Regions from separate parts of the Mus musculus genome. Here region 1 is reported to be linked to region 2. Evidence: microRNA targets listed by miRTarBase, many of them from high-throughput screens and not tested one by one. Region 2 holds a microRNA gene; the other region holds the end of a gene's coding sequence.
The links. Region 2 holds the annotated microRNA mmu-miR-17-5p (CAAAGUGCUUACAGUGCAGGUAG, at 2,337-2,359, shown strand). A microRNA usually pairs through its seed, bases 2 to 8, with sites in the 3' UTR of a target mRNA and lowers its output. Matches are read on the target gene's strand: a 7mer-m8 pairs with bases 2 to 8, a 7mer-A1 pairs with bases 2 to 7 and ends in A, and an 8mer does both.

Region 1: the mRNA of Rab12 is a reported target of mmu-miR-17-5p. Seed matches in the 3' UTR shown: 7mer-m8 at 401-407.

Annotation. Positions count from the first base shown.
Region 1 is chr17:66,491,940-66,496,004 of GRCm38, reverse strand. Rab12 (RAB12, member RAS oncogene family) reads left to right here. Exons shown (of 6, transcript NM_024448.2): 6 at 202-1,493. The coding sequence ends at 315. Among named protein-coding and RNA genes, the nearest start is that of Gm41608, 12 kb to the left of the region's middle.
Region 2 is chr14:115,041,348-115,045,412 of GRCm38, forward strand. Mir17 (microRNA 17) reads left to right here and starts at 2,324; the gene lies at 2,324-2,407. It overlaps Mir18 (microRNA 18), which reads left to right and starts at 2,504; the gene lies at 2,504-2,599. It overlaps Mir19a (microRNA 19a), which reads left to right and starts at 2,653; the gene lies at 2,653-2,734. It overlaps Mir20a (microRNA 20a), which reads left to right and starts at 2,810; the gene lies at 2,810-2,916. It also overlaps Mir19b-1, Mir17hg and Mir92-1.

The sequences.
Region 1 (4,065 bases), not on the chromosome of region 2:
TCCCAGCACCCACCCAGCATTTCACAACCGTCTGTAACTTCAGCTCCCAGAGATCCAACACCCTATCCTGGCTTCCTTGGGTAACGGGCCTGTGGCACAAAGGCAACACACCCGTGCACACGGAATGAAAGGTTTACAGTTTAATACAATCCTGCCGTTTGCAGGACTGAAGTGTGTCTGTGCTCTCTTCTTGTCCTCCAGATGCCTCTTGATGTTTTGAGAAACGAGTTATCCAATAGCATCCTTTCTCTACAACCAGAGCCTGAGATCCCACCAGAGCTGCCTCCTCCCAGACCACACGTCCGATGCTGTTGATTTGATACTTTGGAGATGGTGCAAGCGATTCCTAGAAGGGGGAAACGTTCTGTTCTGCACTACAATCACGTGACAATTTCCTTTCGCACTTTGTAACCCAAGTCAGCTATACACTAACTTGTAAATATGCAAATATGCAATCCTGGGTAAGGTCGGGTTATATAAGTTACACACTTCCCTTCAAATTATATTTCCTCATTACCCCAGTGTCTAGTGTACGCACACTGGGAGGCGTAGTACTTCTAATACGAAGACTGGGAGAGAAGAAAGATGTAATATTTCCTGAGTACTATAAATGTCCTTGTTAATTACACTACAAGGCAGACGCTCCGATGAGAAGAGAGGACCTGGTGCTTCGCTTGCTGTTTCAACGAAAATCTACAAAACTGAAGTTTTTTGAAAAGGAAGACATGACAGCCACCTTTTCTTTATTTATGGGCTTTCCCCACACGGCACCTCAAGGTTTGGAGTGTCTCTGCACCAAAGCAGAGCTCCCTCACGGCCACAGTGAGAGCACACATGGGCCATGTAGTGAGAGGGTTCCTGGATAGGGGACTGGACTTAGTCCCGAGGCTGCAGAACCCTGGGTGTTTCCCGTTGGCTGTGACCTGCTTTTAAGAATGAAAAGGTTCAATAGAGAAAGAACGGAAGGGCTGGGATTGCAGCTCAGCATTTGAGCATCTGTCCAGCGTACGTGAGGCTCTGGCTTCAATCCCCGTCATCGCAAGGAAAGAAAGAAAAAGAAGCGTTTTTGAAACTATAGAAAAGATTTTAAAATCACACTGCTGTCCTACACAAATCCTGTTTAAAGGGATTTTAAGAGTTACCTTTTAGTATATCAAAGAATACACATGCATTTGCCTAAACATCCTGTATCTTTGTAATGACAAACTTCTCCCCTTGATGGTGAGGCTTATTCCTATTAAGCCTAGACTGTGTTCTTTAAGTTTTCTTGGTCCCCACCCCCCCTTGAGGGTTTTTTTTTTTCCTGGTCTGATAAGGAATTTGTGAACTCTATCTTTGGTATATCTTTTATTAAGCTGCACTGTTTTGTTTAGTCAAGGTAAATAAGTATGTATTTGAATAACTTGGCGTGTCCTGAGTGTTGTGCTATGAGAAGCATCATGGTCTTTCTACACTAATGAAGTGCAAATAAAATTTTGTATTTATGAATGACAGTTGAATTTGCCGTGTGTTTGTGCAGTTATAGATTACATGTGCCAGTCTTTTTCACGAGCTCCGCATCTTAATCTTTTGAGTGTTTTTTTCGGTAAGAAAAGCATGCTGTGTTCTGTGGGAAACACTCTGGCAGCTTTAGAAGGTTCCGCATGGATCTCTCATACAATCCAGCAACTTGGTTTCTAAGTCTATGTGCACTCAGGAAGCAGATCGGGTACTGGACAAACTCTTCCAGCAGTGCCCACAGCATCAGTTTTCACAGTAGTCAAGAGTTAATAAACCCAGGTGGCATTCAGTGGAACAGTGGGGAAGCACACTGATTCAAAAACAGTGGGTACTGTTCAGGAGGCAGCGGCAGAAAGACCACAAGATCTCAGCCAGCATGGTCTACCTAGCGCATCCCACAGCTAGCGCATCCCACAGCAACCATAGCTGCACAGCAAGACCTTGTCAGTTCGTAACCCCCGAAAATATATTTTCTAAGCCAAAGTCGGTCCACAGTACGCTGTTGTGCAATGGTAGCGTGTAAAAAACCCTAACATCATCGCCCTAAATAAAATGAGCCAATTACAGAATGACTACTGTATAATTCCACTCTGAGGTAGAGTCCTGACATTCATAGACGGGCCCATGATTATTGGCTCTGTGAAGAGGGCGGGGCTAAGAGCCAAGGTGTGATGGGTGAGGAGGATGTTGGGGGAGGGGGAGGGGCTGAGAGCCAGGGTGGAATGGGTGGAATGGAGAAGGTAAAAAGCTGTGGAGATGGATGTTAGGGATCGTGTCATGCAAAGAATGTGCTTTAAGATACTGAGCTCCTGCACCAAATACGGTCTGGACACATTGGCATATAGAGTTCTGAAAGGACTTTTGCAAGCGCACCATAGTCTACAGTTAGTCACCTCCACGCCCACTCTGTTCTTGCATACTGGGTCAGTGATGAAGCCATACTTGCCATCCTCTGCCTCTTCCTGTTGAAACCCGATGAGAAACACAAGGAACTTTAGAACCGGAAGGAAGGGACTTGGTTGCCATGTTGGCTCCGATGGTGGAACCCATCTGTAGGACCCCAGCCTCGGTGTGTGAGCATCTGTGCTCCTTGCTCTCCTCCTGCCAGGCCATCCGACACACAGCAGTCTCTGTACCCGTCTGGCTACCCCGAGCTCCTAAGAGCCCCATCTTGCAGGAATCCTGGGGGCACCCTCCTCCTAGGGCCACCAACCTGTACTGACTACTTGCAGGTGTGCAGTGTTCCCATTCTCAGTGGACACCAGGTGTGGCAGCACACGCACCAGTAGGTAAATCCTACAGTCAGGGAGCAAAGGCGCAGAGGCACATGAGTTATAAGGCCTTATCTTGAAAAAGAAAGCCAACAGTTGGACAAATATCTCTGATTAAGAGTGCTTACTCCTAGCTGGGCGTGGTGGCGCGCGCCTTTAGTCTCAGCACTTGGGAGGCAGAGGCAGGTGGATTTCTGAGTTTGAGAGGCCAGCCTGGTCTACAGAGTGAGTTCCAGGACAGCCAGGGCTACACAGAGAAACCCTGTCTCAGAAAACCAAAAAAGAAGAAGAAGAAGAAGAGGAGGAGGAGGAGGAGGAAGAGGAGGAGGAGGAGGAGGAGGAGGAGGAAGAGGAAGAGGAAGAAGAAGAAGAAGAAGAGGAAGAAGAAGAGGAAGAAGAAGAGGAGGAAGAAGAGGAGGAAGAAGAGGAGGAAGAAGAGGAGGAAGAAGAGGAGGAAGAAGAGGAGGAAGAAGAGGAAGAAGAAGAGGAGGAAGAAGAAGAGGAAGAGGAAGAGGAAGAAGAAGAAGAAGAAGAAGAAGAGGAAGAGGAAGAGGAAGAGGAAGAAGAAGAAGAAGAAGAAGAAGAAGAAGAAGAAGAAGAAGAAGAAGAAGAAGAAGAAGAAGAAGAAGAAGAAGAAGGAGTGCTTACTGCTCTTGCAAAGGACCTGAATTTGGTTCCTGTCACCTCACAGTCCACAGCTGCCTGTAATCCCCAATTCCAGGGTCTCCTAGGTTTTCTGATCTCTGAAGGGATCTCTGTATTGATATGGTTCACACAGGTACATACATATGGTACACATACACAATGGTACACATAATTCACACAGGCAAACACATCAATAAGAACAATCTTTGTTTTGTGTACTTTGCCAGCATGTGTTATCTGCTCTCTGAGGCTTAAAAGATGGGGATCCCATAGACCTGGAGTTACAGACAGTTGTGAGCTGCTGTGGGGGTGCTGGAATTGAACCTATGTCCTCTAGAAAAAAAAAATATCCAGTGCTCTTAACCACTGAGCCATCCCTCTAGCCCTGAGAAATAAAATTTAAAAACAAAACCCAATATTCAGAGAGGTATTTCAGCTGGTAAAAACAAAACAAAACAAAACAGAAACAAAAACAAAAAAATTAACTCAAGAGGGCTGGAGAGATAGCTCAGTGGTTAAGAGCAGTGACTGCTCTTCCAGAGGTCCTGAGTTCAATTCCCAGCAACATGGTGGCTCACAACCCCAAAGCACACACCAAGGTGGGAGAGAGAGAACCCACAGCAGAACGCTGTCCTTCGACCTTCACACG
Region 2 (4,065 bases):
GCGCACGCGGGCCGGAGGGGGCCCGAGGGGGCGGCGGCCCGGGCCCCGGAGAGGCCCGCCCGGCGCACACAATGGCCCTCGGGAGGCTTCGCACGAGGCCGGCGGCCGTCCCGGGAGCGGCGGGAGCCGGGCGGGGCGCGCGGCCGCCGTGCGGGGAAAGTTTCTCCCGGGGGCGAGAGTTAAAGCGCCTCCAGAACAAAGCGGCGGCGGCACATGGGGCAGGCCGCGGGCCGGGAGGGGGCGCGCCCACGAGGAACCTGCGCGCGGGCGGCGTGGGCGGGCGGCACTCGGCGTCCCCGAAACTTTGTGCGCGCCGGGCCGGGCTCCGGGACGCGGGAGCTGCGGGGCGACGGGGCCGGGGCGCCACCCCGCGCTCCGCGTGGGCTTTGTGTGCGGCCGCGTGGGCAGCTCCCCTCGCGGGCGAGGCGACCCCTGCGGTCCGCCCGGGCGGCCCGGGACGCCCCGGCCCGCCCTCGGGGCGGCGCGGAGCCCCGGACGGGCGCTGGCTGCGAGCGCGGCGCGGGAGGGCCGGGCGGGTTCGGCAGGAGCGGCGGCCCCGCCGCCATGTTCCTGCGGGGCGGGCTGCGCGCGCCGAGGGCGGGGGGGGGGGGGACATGGCGGCGACTGCGCGCCGCCGCCGATTGTTCCCGGCTTAGGCCTCGGGCCGCGTGCGGCGAGCGCCCTGTCCGCCCCCCTCCCTCCCCCGGAGCCTGGCCGGGGGGCGCGCGGGACACAAAGGACGGCCGGCGTGTCCGGAGCCTCGCCACGCTCGGGCCTCCGCGCCGCCGCTCGCCGCGCAGCCGCCCAGAAACGGGCGGGGGTTGGGGGGGGGGGGGAGTCTCCGCGTCCGGCGCAGCGCGGCCCGGCTCTGACCTGCCGCCCCCTGGCGGCCGCGCGGGGAACCCACAAGGGCCGCCTGCCCCCTTGTGCGACATGTGCTGCCGGCCCGGGCTCCATGAGCGTGGCGGGTACTTGGCAGGATCCCGTGTTCCCGTCCGGTTTTCTCTTGATAAGCTGGCGCGGAGGGGAGAAAACTGGAGAGCGCAGCAGGGCTCGTGGTTCTTAGGTGACCAGAGGGAAGAAAATGAGCAACGTGCCACGAGGATCACAGCAGTTGGGGAAACAACTCTTTATCCCGGCGTGCAGCCACGAGGTCCTGATTGGGGGAGGGGTGGTGAAGACTAGTCCTGGTTGCCCTTTTTCTCTAGCTTGAGCTGGACAGTAGAGTTCAGGCTTGCTGCTACTCATCTTGCAGTATTTCAGGGGCACATTAATTCGTGCACGGATGTGAATCTTGGTGGGTTTTCAACTTTATTTTGTTACAGCGTTTTCCACCCAATACATTGTTGCCCTCAGGACCTTGTGGTCCTGGCTCTCTCTTTTTTTTTTTTTTTTTTTTTTTTTTTGGCAAATGGATAGAATTGCCCCTTAGGAAGATTAAGAGAAGAGCAACTTGGAATGGGGCTCGGAAAGTGGTAGTAATTTTGAGCAAATGTGCTTACCCTTTCTCTGTCTTCACCCCACCCCCAACCCTAGTCATACACGTGGACCTAGCAGCACCCGAAGCATTGCCCAAGGATACTTGCTGAGAAGGAAGTTTGCCTGAGTGGGTGAGTATATTCTAGTTTTGTAGCTAAAACTTCTTTTGAGACCTTTGGTTTTCACTTTTGTCTTTGAGCTTGTACAACATTCTTGGTCTTTTAAGGTATGAAATAAATACAGTTTGAACTCTTGTCATAAATGAGTGAGCCACATTTTAACGTAGTAAATCTACAGTGGCTTTTGGACACTAACCAAATAGTTGTAGACCCTTCAAGTTGGAGTCATAGAGTATTTCTAATTTGGGGTGATACTAAGACTTTTTTATGTTTTATGACTAATAAACTTGAAAATGACTAAACAATAATCATTAATCTTGTCGAGTATCTGACAATGTGGAGGACAGAAGAAAGGGATTGCTGCCTGGTCAATGTGAGGCTTTCCTCTAAAGGTAGTACCAAGTCAGACTGCCTTCCTGATAACAGGTCTCATTTTGTAGGACCCTTATTGTGTGTTTTTTGGGGAAGCCTACTGTAAAAGCCAACATTTTAATGGGATTGTATCTTATATTTCTTTAAGGAGTTTTTTTTTTTTTTTTAAGGCTTACATGTGTCCAATTTGGAACTTCTGGCTATTGGCTCCTCCCCTCCCCCCCTTGGGTATAAGCTGTAATTGATGTTTGTGACAGAATTTAGAGCTTTGGCTTTTTCCTTTTTGTCTAATTATTTATTTCAAATTTAGCAGGAATAAAGTGAACCTCACCTTGGGACTGAAGCTGTGACCAGTCAGAATAATGTCAAAGTGCTTACAGTGCAGGTAGTGATGTGTGCATCTACTGCAGTGAGGGCACTTGTAGCATTATGCTGACAGCTGCCTCGGTGGGAGCCACAGTGGGCGCTGCCTCGGGCGGCACTGGCTGCGTCCAGTCGTCGGTCAGTCGGTCGCGGGGAGGGCCTGCTGGTGCTGCGTGCTTTTTGTTCTAAGGTGCATCTAGTGCAGATAGTGAAGTAGACTAGCATCTACTGCCCTAAGTGCTCCTTCTGGCATAAGAAGTTATGTCCTCATCCAATCCAAGTCAAGCAAGCATGTAGGGGTCTCTCCATAGTTGTGTTTGCAGCCCTCTGTTAGTTTTGCATAGTTGCACTACAAGAAGAATGTAGTTGTGCAAATCTATGCAAAACTGATGGTGGCCTGCTATTTACTTCAAGTGTTGTTTTTTTTTAAACTAATTTTGTATTTTTATTGTGTCGATGTAGAGCCTGCGTGGTGTGTGTGATGTGACAGCTTCTGTAGCACTAAAGTGCTTATAGTGCAGGTAGTGTGTAGCCATCTACTGCATTACGAGCACTTAAAGTACTGCCAGCTGTAGAACTCCAGCCTCGCCTGGCCATCGCCCAGCCAACTGTCCTGTTATTGAGCACTGGTCTATGGTTAGTTTTGCAGGTTTGCATCCAGCTGTATAATATTCTGCTGTGCAAATCCATGCAAAACTGACTGTGGTGGTGAAAAGTCTGTAGAGAAGTAAGGGAAAATCAAACCCCTTTCTACACAGGTTGGGATTTGTCGCAATGCTGTGTTTCTCTGTATGGTATTGCACTTGTCCCGGCCTGTTGAGTTTGGTGGGGATTGTGACCAGAAGATGTGAAAATGACAATATTGCTGAAGATGCCGATTTCCACTGTAAAAATGTTCACGAGCTGATGGAGTGTATGAACACATTCTGTAAACTGTGATTTCTATTGCTTTCGTTGGTGTGTAAAACGGGATTTTTTTAATTGAAATTTGTGTTTTTAAATTGTGGTTTGTTTTTACTGAATCATTTCATTTTCGTGTTTGCTCGCTGGATTTAGTAAGAAGTTGTGTGTGGGGGCTTAGGTGAAGTTAAACTGCCTTTTGAACCTGGTATGACTTCAGGTTTATTTTACTCTAAAACCCATTAACATGAGTTAAGAAAAATGTTACTTTCTTTGGATCTCTGTTTATTAAAGTGTGACAATTCAGATGGAGTGTTTTCTGATAAGATTATTCCTAATCCGTGAGTTCTTAACAGTTAACAGGTGGTGGCCACTCTGTTAATGTGCACACCCTGTAAGAAAGAACTATCCTTGGACTGTTCTTACCATGTGACCCCCTCAAGGGAAAGATGGCAAACTGATGGTCAGTAGAGTGACAGGTACACATGACACTCGAGTGCTGGGTCTGGAGAAGCTGCAGTTAGTATTTAGGATAACAGTATATATAATATATAGTTCTACATTTGGGCAGCACAGTTGGTTTCAGGCTATGAATAAAAATCATTGGAGTGAAACCTAAAGAAAAGTAAAATTAATAAGGAAGAGCTGCTAAAATCAGGTTTAAGCTGACACTATCTACAGAGCTAAAGTTTTCCATAATATGTTGCTTTTTTTAAAAGAAATGCAAGAAGCTGACTGATGGATCCCTGAGCTGCCAGGTAAGGATTCCACAGGCCTGGGTTTGATTGTGAGTGACCAGAATTGTACAATTATTACTAAAACAGAAACATAG